Arabidopsis thaliana: one gene and its partners. The protein of the gene in region 1 interacts with the protein of each later gene in a pairwise test. Each region holds a gene or a part of one and is shown on either strand. Other genes may lie near its edges.

Region 1 (6,255 bases):
CAAACTTTGAGAAGGTGAATCATCTTACGCCATGGATAAAGCTTGGAACTTTATAAACCCTAAGTTAAGTTCTCACAAAGAAACCAAAATTTGATTTTGTTTACCAAATCACAATTTTTTTTTTCTTTTTTTTTTTTTCTCTTGTCCTCTGTATATTAGACAGAGCAGCCTTGTAAGCTATAAGCCAATGAAGGATTTTTAGACAAATAATGAAAAAATTATTAATACATTACTTTATGACTTTTCACCATATTGATGATAAACTTAATTGAAATCTAATATTAATTATTTTCCAACACAATTAGTTGAAATGGAAAAAAATGGATTTTGACTATAAAAGTAAGTAGGAATGGGGAATTTTAGAAAAGATTCTCTTCCTAAATTGAAGGGAGAGATATGACTAAGAACATATTCATTTTTTTTTTTTTACTACCAAAATTAGTAGAAAAAAATAAGAAAATAGGTAAATAAATAAAAGAGATGGTTGGCAGATCGTGGAATTTAGTAAATAGTGCGAATCCCAATAATAAAGCATTTGATGCCTTTCTTTCTTCTACCTCACTTTTTTTATTCCAAAAAGTTTTATCAAGTAGACAAGATTTTTTTTTTTTTTTTTTGTTTTCTAATAATGTCAATGTGTGACATCCTCGTTGTCAAAATCTCAAGATATATGAATTTGATTCATATTTTTTCTTTATGTTAATACAAAAATTAATCTTAGCATCTCAATAATTGTGGGATAAACTGATCCGTTCGTACAATACTTTTACAATTATATGCGACTATGAAAATAATTGGACTCATAGTTATGAACCAATAACAGAAGCAAGCATATAAAAATCGATGAAGAGTTTTTTTTTTTTTTTTTGATATTTAAGAAATTATTGATACACTAAATAGATCAAGAAATATATTCATACACCAAAATGATGTTTTGATTTCTGTTTTTTTTTGTCAACATTTATAAGGAGCGAGACTCGATCCTCGATGTCATGTTCTCAGTGGACTTATCATTTGCAACAAGACTACTATCACTTAACAATTTTGATTTCTGTTTACTATCTAAATGCCATCAGCTTTTATAATTTTCATTTTTTTTCACTAGATAAGTTAGGTTTTTTAAAATTTGTTATTAACTCACACTTCAAATCTTATCAAGATTTTACTAAGGTAAAATTGATGTACCGTCGTTTCTTTGTCGTTGCAATTTTCCTCGATTGATGTATGCTCTATTAGTCCAAATTCAATTTTCATTATCCCCAACCCGTATAAGTGAATTAACATAAGCTTCTGGTAAAAAATGCTTATCAAATGAAACATGTTAAAAGTCATGGACACTTAAACATATTATCAGGCCTGACGTTTATATTGGGCCACATGCTATATTTGTAAAAGACTAATTTTATACGCATTTAAGATTTTGCTTAAGAAACGAATAAATTTGGGCTCTAAAATGCTATGAGCCCAATAAACTGCACATTATACTTGCTCCACTAACAGTAATACAGTTTCCTTTTTTTTGGTAGGCTAATCTGAACAGTTTCCTAATAATGCAAATCAATATAATTAATTAAAGATTTGTTTCATTCAAGTTAATTTAACTCCGAACATTATGTTATGAAGAAGAGAAAGACTTTGTTGTTGGACTTGATGCACTCTTTCGCTCATTAAGGTGATCCATACATTTTAATTTCAAAATTGTTGGCAGGAACTAGATTTTGGTTTTACTGATTTACAATGTTATTAACTACAAAAAAAACAAAAAACAAAACAAATAAGTTATCATATCTATCAAGTCTCAACTATTAACTTGTGGCCTTAGCATCTCCAAATTTCTACATTATCCCTGCTTTTGGTTTCTTTAAGACTTTAATCCCAACCTTAATTCACAGTTTTTTTCTCATATATATAGTCCTCATCATGTAAGTAAGTCCTAGCTAATTTTGCTGAAACCACTCTCTCATATTAATTTTTCGTAATATGTTTAGAAATTAGAAAATAAAATAAAATTAGAAGCTATATATAATTAAAGTTTGTTCCACTAAAGAAAATCTCAAAAGTGTAAAATTGTCAGAGATAATTCATCTGTATAACTTTAAAGTAACGGTGTATACTGAGTTATAACACACAACTGACGTACGTTACTAGAACTATGTTCGTGAATAGAAATAAAGATGAGATTCCTTAAAGCTAGATAAAAAATCAACGGCCAAGGTGAAGCATATTTTCATAAACCATGCATGCCTACATGAAACTACTTGCGACAGACACTAAACAATTCGAAACACTTCGTATTTTGGAAAAATAAAAACTATTGATGGGCTACAAGCAGAAAGCATGCATCGCACGTGTCAACAGCATCTGAACACGTTGCTGGATTCTCTTTTTGTTCTTATGCATTCCGATTTGTATATAAACGTGAACGGTGAACTACTTTTTGGACAATTTATACTTTTTTTTTCTCTATCTTTAAACTAGTTTTGTAACAAAATCACCCACTTACACGTACACTATCTACGTAAAGTGGAGTGCAAAACAGTTCATATCCGTGGAGGTCTAGTAATTTATTTCAAGAAGTTCTTAAATTTATTTTTTTGGTCAGGAAATTTAGAATGTTCTTATCACATTATTCTTAAAATGCATTCGTTATGTTATGTGAATGCACTAGCCAAAAATAAATAAATGCAACTACCATCATTGGTTAATATTCATGAAACTTTTTTTTTTTTTCATGAAACTTATATATCTATTAAAAGTTTAAAACCTTATTATACGAAATGTTTGAGAATCTATTATCTGTCACCACCCGTTTGTGACCAGAGAGTAGATTTCTAAAGTGTTTTGGATAAGTTTAGTGTTTTAGAGTATTAAAAAATTTAGAAGCACTTTTCATTAGACTCTATATATGACATATCTATAATAATATTCCTGAATTTGAATTTAGCATCTACTTATATCGCATAACTCATTTATGGTACTGAAATTTAGTGGAAAACAGCTAGTAAAAGAGAAGTATTGGTGTGATAAATAAAGCTCAGAGGCTCAGGATAAGTCAGGATTCCTTAACTCATTTTAGCTAGCCTATCTCTCTCTTTCTCTCTCTCTGTCTCTCCCTATATATAAATCGATAAATAAATGAGTGTGAGGTAATTAAGGAACTAGAAAGGAATAAGAAATTATGGAGAGAATATGTGAAATGTGGAGAGAAATGAAAGATATAACGGCAATGGTGGTGGTTCAAATAGCTACGGCAGGGTTAAACATATTTTTCAAGCTAGCAATGGAAGATGGTATGAACCCAAGTGTACTCGTGGCCTATCGTCTCTTGTTTGCTACACTTTTCATGATTCCTATATGCTTCATCTTTCAAAGGTTGTTTTTCTTTCACATAATATGGTTGTGTTTGTATGCTTTGATATTAATTAACTTCATGTGATCGATTAGGAAGAAGAGGCCAGAGTTTACATGCAGGCTGATGTTACTAGCATTACTCTCAGGGTTACTCGGGTACGTAATAGTCACACACACACACACACACACACACACACAAAACGAAAAATCATTTTTCGTTTTTTTGGATGTCCTCTTGTGTCCTAAGGTTATATATATGTTAACTTTTTTGTGATAAATTTCTCAAAATAAACCATTTTATAATATACGAAATTGAAAAAAATAATCTATATACATGGTTTGAGTGTTACAGAAGTTTAATGCAAGACTATAAAATTTATATATTCCTATATATGTTCAAATTCGATTTCCTATTGGTTTTCAAACATATTAGCCACTGGCTAGGTAAGTCGTCGGATATTTTAGCTTAGGTAGCATGAGTTGAATTTAGTTCTTACCAAAATCTCCTCACCACAAAACCACAATCCAGAGCACACTGGTTTTATAAAACGTAATTAATCTTCTAGAGTTTAATTTTACTTAAATTTACTTTAAAGTTAAAAAACGTATACTTAGTCTGAAAAACTTAAAATGTACCAAAACATAGAGAACTCTAGAAGATTATTTGAACGTATTCAATATTATTATCTAACATTCAAACAGGGTAGTACTTAGTAGTTTTAACCATTCTACTCAATATTACCAACTAGTGGTTTGACAATAAAAACCAACATGTACCAAAAAACATAGAAGACTACGTTTTGGCTGAAAATACTAGTTGATAATATTGATTATCATTAGTAAAATGTAAAATTGTTGAAGAATATATATATATTGGGATTATAAGACTTCTTTAATGTGGTGATAATTGAACAGTGTGGTGATACCAAGTATCCTAACCATTACGGGTCTAGCTCTAACGTCAGCAACATTCACCTCTGCTGCTGGCGTTCTCACTCCATTGGTCACTTTCATCTTCGCTGCACTTCTTAGGCAAGTCTAATCAACGAATCACAATTTAGTTAACCCCTTTTAATATATGTTTATACCATTAAACAAAATATAATAAACTTTTATGGGTCTCATAGGATGGAGAGTGTACGGCTTGGATCGAGCGTAGGGCTGGCTAAGGTTTTTGGAACATTGTTTGGTGTTGGTGGAGCTCTTGTCTTTATATTCTATAGAGGAATAGAGATCCGACTATGGTCAACTCACGTTAACCTAGTGAACCAACCACGTGACTCCTCACGTGATGCTACCACTCACCATATTTCCATCCTTGGGGCTCTTCTAGTTTTTGGGGGAAACATTTCCATCTCACTTTGGTTTTTATTGCAGGCAAGTTTTTTGTTTGTTTTTCAGATTTCTTATTTTTGTGTTTGTTTTGTGTACTAAGGCATTAGGCATGTACGTGTTTTTTTTTGTTTTTGTTTTGTTTATAGGTTAAGATAAGCAAACAATTTGGAGGGCCTTATTGGAACGCGACTCTAATGAACATGATGGGAGGCGTAGTGGCTATGCTTGTCGCTCTTTGCTGGGAACACGATTTAGATGAATGGAGATTAGGATGGAATATCAGACTATTAACCATTGCTTATGCGGTAAATATCAATCCATCCATTATTAAGTATATATATATATGTCTTGTTGTCTAATTACAAATTCATACAAGTCTATACATGTGTGAAGATTCATTTAGGTTGGCCTTGAATATATGTGCTTTATGTTGTCCATTGTAGGCAATTCTGATTTCCGGGATGGTGGTAGCAGTCAACGCATGGTGCATTGAGTCTAGAGGACCGTTATTTGTATCGGTATTTAGCCCTGTAGGACTTGTGATCGTAGCTCTTGTTGGATCATTTTTGCTAGATGAAACACTTCATTTGGGGAGGTACAAACTCATGTATATTGTATTGTTTTGTGGAAATGGATTTGATATACGTATGTATATATAATATGGTTTATTTTTACTTGAAAACATTACAGCATAATTGGTACAGTGATTATCGTTGGAGCATTATACATTGTGCTATGGGCTAAAAACAAGGAAATGAAGAGTATGCTTACGACATCGGATCATAATGAAACAAATAAGACTAGCAAAGATATCACAGTCAACAATCTCCCAACATTAAGTACAAATGTCCCTTGATCAACCATCATTTATATATGTTGAACGACTTGTTGTTAGTATATTTGATTAAGTGAATATTAACATTATTATTCTATCTAACGATGATTTATTGAACCATCTATGTAAGTTATTATGTGCATATGACCTTTGTACTACCACATCCACAACTTCATAAGATGTTGCATGGATTTTTTTTAACGAGCAATAATAAATTGTAAAATCTTATTTGGGTCTAATTAATTTCACTTCTGAGTCATACAATATGTACATGAACTAGTAAGTTGGAATGGGCCCATAATGGGCCGCTCAAATAACTCTCCTCCAAACCTAAAACCCTTTATCGTAATTGATTCTCCAAGCATCCTTTTGAATCTCTGATTCCTACAAGACAAATCACTAAAAGATTCGCAAGTTGACATAGCAGAGACCATACGACACCAACCTAAACACAGAAAAGAATAACTCATTCACTCGTATAGGCTTTGTCTTGCCTCTTCTTGAAAACATGTACACGTATTTAATTATAAATGCATATATAAAGATCCTACCGACGAAAAAATAAAAAGATTGAAAACATGACATCTGCTTATCGTCCAAGAGTTATTGTGAATGGAACAAGAAGAACAAGAACGTTCCATTACTTCTATTGTCGCCATTGTAGCCGTACCATTAGGCTAAGAAGCTTTGGTCTATATGGTCCCATATGTCCTTTCTGTTCTAGAGAGATCAAT
Region 2 (4,703 bases), on another chromosome or scaffold:
TCATTCACATGCTCAGATAATTTATCTCCTCTCTACATAAGTACATCAGCATTGATGATATGATCCATATGCTTAAGTGATTGTCTGGAAAACAGTTCATAGGTGATAATACCTTCTTAGCTTCAGTACCAAAACATTCCTGGAAGCATGTTTTATAATCCTGAAGATTACCTTTTGTTTTAGTTTTTCTCCTTAGCTTACTAGTCATTGTTTTGCATTCAGGCCTTTCTGAATTCAGGAAGGGCTTTTACAGCAGTAAATGCGCAGAGTACACAAGTAAGGTTCTATCATATCTTCTGTTGGTACGCTGGCAAGGTTCTTAACTATGAAACATTTTGACAGACAGAGAGAGGTAGAGAGAGAGCAGAGCAGCAGTATATGTGTATAGTATATAGTTTGTAGAATTCCAGAACATATGTGACCTCATACTTGTGAAAAAATGTTGCTGAAACAATTGAGTTTCTATCAATTTCAAGAAATCTTTTTTAGCCTCTTCTGCTTGGAAGATCACACAAGAGAAAATGATTTTTCCCTTTGAATTTACTTTGTATATATTTAGCTCATTGGCGTCAAAGAAATCTATTACATTCAAATATTCAATGAAGAACCAAACATTTTTATCTGTCAAGATCCACCTCTAAAACTATTGAGCTTTCCTCTTATATTAGCTTTTTGTCTTATGCATATCTTCCTTATATCATATTTAGTCTTTGTAGTGTTAGGTTCTGAATTTCGAATCTTTCCTCTTCCCTTATTGAAAAGAGTAAAAGACAAAGAACAAAGTACCAAAAATAATAAAGAATCTTCAAGGAGTTTTTGCCTTGTGCAATTCAACTTCTTCCCATGTTGTTTATGTGTAGTCCAATTAGTGTTATTTTTAATTAAGATGTGGTCCAATTAGCTGTTCTTTTTCTAAACCGTATAACATAATAATACGTGATTCAAATACATTAACATAATGCAAAAATGTAACAGCAAATTCATTAAAAACAAAAAATGTAACAGCAAAGCACCATACTTTCTCTCGTGGGGATTAGAATATACAGCTTTCATTACAAAGACTAGTCAACTAAATCGTACCAGCTAACTGCAAAACATCATCTTAGGAAATAGAAAAAGGTATGTGTAGATCAATCAAAATGAATAAAATGTTTGATTATGAATAAAAATGAATAAGGAAGAGTTCAATGAGATGATGATATTAAATTATGGTAGAAGAAAAGTTAATAACAGGTCAGATATAGAAACTTTCCGTAAAGTCAAGGATTTAAATTATTCACGTGAATACTCTGTCTAGGTCCTATCTTGAAATTTATCATTCAAACCTTTAATATTATCTATATGTTTTTACTTTAAAATTAAATTTTAATATATGTAGATATAAAAATTAATATTTTTAATTTATATATTCTTAATATTTATATCTAGATAGAGTCATATCAAAACATTTTGTTTGAATGCAAATTTCAAAAGATAAATTTTGGAATAAACATTTTCAAAGACGTAAATTAAAAAAGCAATTTAGAAATAAAGCATTGCAAAAATAAATTCAACTAAAATTTAGATGTAGATGTATATTGTGAACCCCCAAAATTAATTATAAAATCTTTTGGAACTGACATGTCAATATTTGTTTGATTGATCAACCTTTTTTCTCCTCCAATCTTCGTTTAGTTCTAATAAAAATATCATAAAGAATTAAAGATTGCAGTTATGAAGATAATGACATTTTTCTTTAATATTTTATTTTTCTTCATTATTTTAAAAACGTTTGGCTCAATTTATAGACAGTGAAGGAAAGTTCTTGGAATTTGGTTCTTCTTCTATACATAAGCTTTGGTTACACAATCAAAATCAAATCGAGAACTGTTGTTGTGTCCGAAAATCAACATCAACATCGTTTCTTTCTTCTGCCATTAAATTTCACCATCTTCCACCTTCAACTGCCCTAGACAGCTATTCTCCACCTTTCTCTTTTCTCTCTCTGTTCTCTATCATTCCCAGAGATAACCAAACAATCTCAGAAGAAACCAGAAAGAGCAAAGAAACTAAAAACTATTATTCATTAAAGTCAGTGTTTTTAAATTCGATTTCGTAATGGGTTCTTCTGCTTCAAAGACCGCTTCTTCCGTTTCTTCTGCTTCTTCCTCATCTGCGTTTTCTCCACCGCCGACCAAATTCAGCTCCGATTCATCTTCACCGGCGGTGCAGAGAGCTTTTTCGTTTCCGACGCCGTTGGTTCACCATCCTCCGGCGAGAAAAGGCGACTCTCATCACCTTGTTTCCCTTACATCTACATCGTACGGTTCTCTTCTCCTCCTTGATCTCGATGGATCCAAAAACTCCTCTTCCGACCAACAAACGCTGCCTCGTATCTCAATCTCCGGGAAGAACACACCAGATCCGGTCTCTCCTGATTCAGTCATAAACACTTGGGAGCTTATGGATGGCTTGGACGATGAATTCGAATTCGAAATTCCCAAACCGGGTAAGCGTCTAAATTCGGATTTTTGCTCTAAACCCGACCCGAATCGGAATGTGAGTTTAAATGGGTCTTCGTTGAAATTGGATGAATCTTACGAGATTGTGAGAATCGAAGAAGACGATGGAGATTGGGTTCCTTTGACTTATAAACCTAAGCAACCTTTGTGGAAGCATTTGTCTGAAGAATCATTTCTCTCTGATTTAGATCCCAGCATTGTCTCATCCTACAAGAAAGCTTTGTCTTCTAAGCTATTAAGCAATCATAGTAATACTAGAAACCCTCATAGACCCACAAAGTCTCTCTCTTGTAGCCCATCATCAAATCCATCCATCTTAATAAGCGAAGAACCAAAATCTGTATCCTCTAGTCAATTGATTTCATCACCAGCCAAACCGAGATTACCAGGAACAGAAGACAAGATTGTACTCTACTTCACAACCCTCAGAGGAATTCGAAAGACATACGAGGATTGTTGTTGCGTTAGAGCGATATTGAGAGGAGTTCAAGTGTCCGTAGACGAACGTGACATCTCTATGGATTCCAAATACAGGAAAGAGCTTCAAAGCGTGCTTGGCGCCGCAGAGAAACCGGTTTGTTTGCCTCAGGTGTTTATCAGAGGAACTCACATTGGTGGCGTGGAGGAGATTATGCAGCTAAATGATGGTGGTGAATTAGCAGAGATGTTGAAAGATTTCCCTGCTTGTGAACGCTTGGGGACATGCCGGAGCTGTGGTGATGCAAGGTTTGTGCCTTGTACTAACTGTGATGGTAGCACCAAAGTGTTTGAAGAACAAGATGAACGGTTTAAGCGGTGTCCTAAATGCAATGAGAATGGATTGGTGCGTTGTCGTGTGTGTTGTCTCTAAGTGATCAGTTTGATCAAAAGATGTGTGTGAGAAAGGGGATATAGATTGATTGACTAAACATGGTATTTGGTTAGTAATGTATATTCAAATAAGTAAGTTGGCTCAAGCCTTTTATTATTTACTCTTATGAGTTGTGTTCTTTTGTTCCATTTACGCTCTTGACCTTTTGAACTAAATGATTCTTACTATATGAAGTACATCAAATGGTAGATGATGATTGATAATTCGCATAATAGCCGAATGATTTGCTTTGTTTGCAAGGTATTTTTTATCAATGAAAAATATGTGCAACATTACCACAAATGTAGTTTGATTGATTGATGTCACCTGCTCGCTCACCTATATTAGCTTTCTTCCTTCTGTTCTTAAATCCTAAAACGACAACGTTTAGTCTCCCTTTAAATCCCATCACTGGACTCGACGACTTTTGCTCAGATAAGGGAGACAAAAATGGAAGTGAAAGGGAAAGAGACAGCTTCGGTTCTGTGTCTGAGCAAATACGTGGATCTATCGAGTGAAGAGAGTCATAGATACTATCTTGCGCGGCGAAATGGCTTGCAGATGCTCCGAGACAGAGGCTACGAAGTCTCCGACGAAGATATCAATCTCTCCCTTCACGATTTTCGAACTGTTTACGGTGAACGTCCCGATGTTGATCGTCTTCGCATCTCCGCTCTGCATCGCTCCGATTCTACCAAAAAGGTATATCGAAGTATTTTCGTATTCGTTGTGATTTTTCGATTTCTAGCTGTTTTTTTGTCTTTGCATGTTGTGGGGTTTACTGTTTGGCAGTGAAGAAGATGATGGAATATGAAATTTGTGACTCTTTTAAATTTCTTATCTTCTAATTGAAGTTTGAATTGCTACTTTTGTGGATTCAGATGACTAAAGTTTACTACTTTATTGTCCTTATCAAGTAGCATACCTCATTTGTTTGTCCTCTGAATTTTTGTAATGTGAAATGTTTCTGGTAACAACTAGCAAAGTGATTCTTAGATCTCTTCCTATGGCTATTGAACATTCGGACAATTCATTGAGTGATCTCTTCAATCTTTAGAGTATGGTCAATGTCAAATGTGCGAGTTCTGATGATAGCTACAAGTTTCCATGTTTAATTCTAGAATGAGATTGAACTGCAAAAGAACGGTTAAGTTGGATATTTGTTGAAAATCTTACCCCTTTTCTTGTTGGTTGTTTGGTTCATGTTACCTCTTTTTGTATGCTTATAGACATGCTTGTCACCTGCTTTCAACTAGTCGATTTCATATATTGATTGCTACAAGATTTTTGTTACTTATAAATGTCTTCTATTTTCAACTCATGATGTTTCTTGCATCAGCTCTAGTCTTATG
Region 3 (4,757 bases), about 14 Mb from region 1:
TGAGGAAAATCTGGTTTAGATAATTGGACCAAAGGGATTTGATTCATTAACCGGAATCTTAAGCCTTGTCAAATTCTGTTCACATATATAAGCAATAAAGTTTTTTTTAAAGTAGTGATTGATTTGGAAATAAATCGCTCTCTCGGTCTCAGAGATTGAGATTCCGATACGGCGGAGCAAAGCAATTTAATAAACCTAGGGTTCAGATTATGACGGCGGCGGAATCAATCGCCGCATCGATTAATCAAATTGATGAGAAGAAACAAAAATTGAAGAAAGCTTTCGATGATCTTCAAGCTCATCGATCTCTCCTTTCACCATCTTTTAACCTCTCATGGTCTGAGATTGACTCTCACTTTTCTTCTCTCCAGTCTTCATTGTTTAACCGCCTCCAATCAGCCGTGACTAGTTCCAATTCCGGTAATATCGAAACTCCCACGGCGGTTACGACGGAGACACCAGTCCTTTGGCCGGAATTGAGAAAGTTTTGTGAGAAGAATGATGGAAAAGGTTTGGGTAACTACATGATTGAGAATTCGAGGAAGCGTTTATCTATCAATGAAGAGCTTCCTAATGCGATTCGATGCTCAGAGAATCCAGCACCTTTGGTTCTAGATGCAATCGAAGGTTCTTACCATTGCTCATCACCATCGTCGTCTTCCTCGGCGAGAGCGATCGATGTGAAGAGGATCTTCGTTTTGTTATTAGAAGCTTTGATTGAGATCAATGCGAATCTCACGAATGATTTGAGAGAAAGAGCTAGGACTATTGCTTATGATTGGAAACCAAATATAGGTAACAAACCATCAGAAGCGTTAGGGTTTTTGCATTTGGTTGCAGCTTTTGAATTAGGGTCTTTATTTAGTACTGAGGAGATTTGTGATTACATTTTCTTGATCTCTAAGTATAAACAAGCAACAACGATCTGCAAGAAGATTGGTTTAGATAGAAATCGAATAGGAGTTCTCGTTCAGAAGTTTTTGGATACTGGGAGATTACTTGTTGCTATTAGATTCATTTACGAGAATGAGATGGTGGGTGAATTTGAACCAGTTTCGATTTTGAAAACTAGTTTGAAGAACTCTAGAGAAGCTGCTAAGAGAGTTTGTGCTGAAGGGAATTACTCTCTTAAGGTGCAGAACGAAGCTACTGATAAAGAACTAAGTGCTTTGAGAGCAGTTATCAAAGTCGTGAAAGAGAAAAACATCGAGTCCGAGTTCATGGAAGAGAAACTCGAAGAATGTGTTAAGGAGTTGGAGGATCAGAAAGCTCAGAGGAAGCGTGCCACTAAGTTCAATTCACCTGCTAATCCCCAACAACCACAAGAACAAAAGGTCGATAATAAGCGTCCTCGAGTTGCTAATGGTTCAAGTATGGAATATAATTTGACAATCCCACCTCTGAGGCCGCAACAACAACCACCACTTTTGCCTACTCCTAGTCAGATTTTACAAGTGAACCCATATGGTCTTTTAAGCTCAATACTTCCTGGTGTTGCTGTCCCATATGGCAACCCAAGGGCTCTATTTGGCTCGGTTCCAGCTCCAGCTTCTCGACCCGTCTTTTATGTGCAGCAAACTGGTTATGGGATGCCACCACCTCAGTACCGCCCACCGTACTATCCTCAGTAGCATCTCTCTATTGGTAAGATTTATTATAGGAATGCAAGCGATATTGAGAAGATTTCTGCTCGAACAGGTCTATGCTCTCTATGTGTTTTTGATGTTCAGTAATGAATATCAAGTAAATTTCGAGAGTTTTGACATAGATAACACTTGATATAGTCGCTGTTTGGGGGATAACATAAGAGCAAATTGATCCGTTTTTTCTTTTTTTGTTTACCTGGTGAAGCGACTATAGAGGATTTTGCCTTGATTGTACAGTTTTATAACCTAACCTTAACCTCTTTTTAATTTAGTTTAGTTTACTTGTGGAGGAATGGTCTTTATGGTTTTGATCTAACATTTATATTCCTTGATTTGTTAGGTAATCTTCCAAGATTTCCTCCCTTTTTTCTTATAATCACCAAAGATCCCTTTTGGTTTGATTTGTTGTAGTGGGAAGAAATCTACGTGTCTGGATATCTAAAATGATCCAAAGGATAATATTCAACTAGCACAGAAACAGAAATAGTTTTTTTTTCATTAAACTATTTAAGTTTACAAAAGGATATGCTTATGGTTTTTCTGATGGAACAGAAAATTAATATTGTCATTTCAATGGAGAAGGAACATGTTCGATGAGCAAAAAAAAGAAAAAACAGAACATGTTCTTTGTTTTACAGTTGTACCCATACTGATCAGAATAAGCCAATCAACGGGGTGTCTGAATCCACGTATACAGTATCTATCTCTAAAAATATTTATTTCCTTTAAAGAAAATATTTAATAGTTATGGCTTATGGGCCTGAGAGGTTTATCATGACGCCCATATATATCTCACGCGTTGTCCTCGTCTTCTCCGTCTTACACTGATTTAATTCTCCTACCAATCTCAACTTCCGACGTCTATTCATCATGGGTTTGAAGGTACGTTCAGATCCAAAATGAACCAAACCGATCTCGGTTTCGGTTTATTACTACTCGGATCTTAGTTTTGTTTGTGTTCACCATTCCTGAATTCTATATTTTCTGTGTTGGTAGCCTTGTTTGATCCAGATTTGCAGATATATAGGTTCCTTATAGTTACGAAATTGAAGCTTGTATAGTCAAGAATGATCACTTTATGGAATTGAATTATTACTGATCACGCTTTTTCTCTGTATGATTTTGTCCATTTACTGTTCTTATAACTGATTTGTTAAACACTGTTTGCTGATGGGTAATATAGTTTTGAATCTGAGCTAGGTTTGGTTTTATTGAGTTTTGTTTGATTATTGTATCCCGATTGAGAATTTTAAGTAGTAATATGTTTGATGGTGTATTAGGCTATTAAGAATCTTTTCTTCGAATTTGTTGTTTCACTGATTTATATATCTGCAGGAGGAATTTGAGGAGCACGCTGAGAAAGTGAATACGCTCACGGAGTTGCCATCCAACGAGGATTTGCTCATTCTCTACGGACTCTACAAGCAAGCCAAGTTTGGGCCTGTGGACACCAGTTAATATTTTTGTCTGAATATTAACATCCTCTATTTTTGCTTCTTAGTTCACTTTTCTGTAATGTTGTTAATAATGTGTATTTGTTTATTGATTGATTCAAAGGTCGTCCTGGAATGTTCAGCATGAAGGAGAGAGCCAAGTGGGATGCTTGGAAGGCTGTTGAAGGTACAAAAACAATTCAAGTGATCAACTTTTTTAGCTTAGTGATTTGTTTGTAATTTGGATTCTTGTCTCAAGTTCAACAATTTTTTGTGCTTGGGGAATTGAATTTGAACTTTTCTTTGTTTATGATGTCAGGGAAATCATCGGAAGAAGCCATGAATGACTATATCACTAAGGTCAAGCAACTCTTGGAAGTTGCTGCTTCCAAGGCTTCAACCTGATGAATCAAATCCTCATCTGCAGTAACTTTATCTTAAGCATCAAAATAACATTGCATAAGACTTGTTCTTGCTCTTGTGTTTCTATCATATTTAAGCTATCTACTTTGTGACATGGTGTGATCTCTTAAAAATGCTTGATATTGGTTAAAACAGAGAATCATGATGCAAACTAAATCCATAAGTTATTTTTGGTCCGTCCTCGATATGGTCTTAGTTAAAACAGTTGAATTCAAGATGATATATTCGTTCTGGTCCGTAGGTCTTTTTCTTCATGGTCCATCGCATTCACCACTCACTAGAAAACTTTCGTTTTATTTCAATTTGGAGTACATAAGACAAAAGCTGGAAAAAAAAAGAACGTGGCAGATTTTTTATTTATTTTTTTCGTCTCGAACATTGGCAGAATTGTTCAAATTGTATGTGGTTTATTTAAAGTCAAATTCGTAAATAAATAGACGTTTAGTTTTAAAGTGTCTACAAATTTGAGGTTTATAATTTGGTAGATGACAAAAACAATAGTTTTTTTATTGAGTTGATCATAATTACTTTTATTTTTTATTGATTGTAGATTAACTTCCTTCCCTTAATGATAATCTCTTAACCGTGATTCAAGAAATTAAATAATATTGTAGAATATTAAAATAATTAATTGTATGTTGAACATACTAATATTTAGTATTATGATAATCTCTTTATCAAAATTATACATCTAGAATTTTTATATTAAATGCATTGTGTTTTTCAATTGAAAATTAAACGATATAAATATATAGTATATGCACTTTAACATAACAAATTCTTTTATATATTTTAATATAAGTGAAATAATTAATCTATATATACATTTTTGTAGGAGGTTTTTGAAGATAATGTTGAAGATGTGAACCATAATTCAACAATTAATTCAAATGGGTGGGTTTTACCCGATTTAACTCTATTCGGATCCTGGATAACATGTTTAATTCTGTTCTGATCTTGGATAACATTAATTTTTGGAAAAGTTACCTAAAAAATAATAATTAAAAACGAAATTAATGATTTAATTACATAATATAAACAATATCTCTAAACTAACCATATTTCTTATTTACCTTAACTAATTTCCTAAAATATTTCTACCTAATTTAAACATAAATATATAATTCTTCTTTCATTTTTATTTGATCTTATACTTTATTTATTTTGAATTTATATAAAATATATATAGTTAATAAAATATTATATTTTTTCTGAATATGATGTAATTCAAATTTTTTAAAACGGAAATATATTA

The links.
Region 2: the proteins of UMAMIT23 (region 1) and AT3G57070 interact in a protein complementation assay, tested with the Arabidopsis thaliana proteins (one large-scale study listed by BioGRID).
Region 3: the proteins of UMAMIT23 (region 1) and ACBP6 interact in a protein complementation assay, tested with the Arabidopsis thaliana proteins (one large-scale study listed by BioGRID).

The regions. Positions count from the first base shown.
Region 1 is NC_003070.9:25,548,717-25,554,971, forward strand, and holds UMAMIT23 (nodulin MtN21 /EamA-like transporter family protein), read left to right. Parts: upstream 1-2,773; 5' UTR 2,774-3,178; coding exon 3,179-3,372; intron 3,373-3,444; coding exon 3,445-3,507; intron 3,508-4,266; coding exon 4,267-4,383; intron 4,384-4,478; coding exon 4,479-4,728; intron 4,729-4,832; coding exon 4,833-4,991; intron 4,992-5,129; coding exon 5,130-5,281; intron 5,282-5,376; coding exon 5,377-5,542; 3' UTR 5,543-5,755; downstream 5,756-6,255. Other genes in the region: AT1G68180 (RING/U-box superfamily protein), read left to right, coding at 6,100-6,255.
Region 2 is NC_003074.8:21,122,077-21,126,779, forward strand, and holds AT3G57070 (Glutaredoxin family protein), read left to right. Parts: upstream 1-1,782; 5' UTR 1,783-2,097; coding exon 2,098-3,351; 3' UTR 3,352-3,606; downstream 3,607-4,703. Other genes in the region: AT3G57072 (uncharacterized protein), read right to left, coding at 3,623-3,760; NRPE5 (Eukaryotic rpb5 RNA polymerase subunit family protein), read left to right, coding at 3,802-4,053.
Region 3 is NC_003070.9:11,409,859-11,414,615, reverse strand, and holds ACBP6 (acyl-CoA-binding protein 6), read left to right. Parts: upstream 1-2,382; 5' UTR 2,383-2,516; coding exon 2,517-2,528; intron 2,529-2,981; coding exon 2,982-3,099; intron 3,100-3,203; coding exon 3,204-3,266; intron 3,267-3,398; coding exon 3,399-3,484; 3' UTR 3,485-3,850; downstream 3,851-4,757. Other genes in the region: FRL2 (FRIGIDA like 2), read left to right, coding at 210-1,631. UniProt on the Arabidopsis thaliana protein: Binds medium- and long-chain acyl-CoA esters with very high affinity. May function as an intracellular carrier of acyl-CoA esters. Confers resistance to cold and freezing.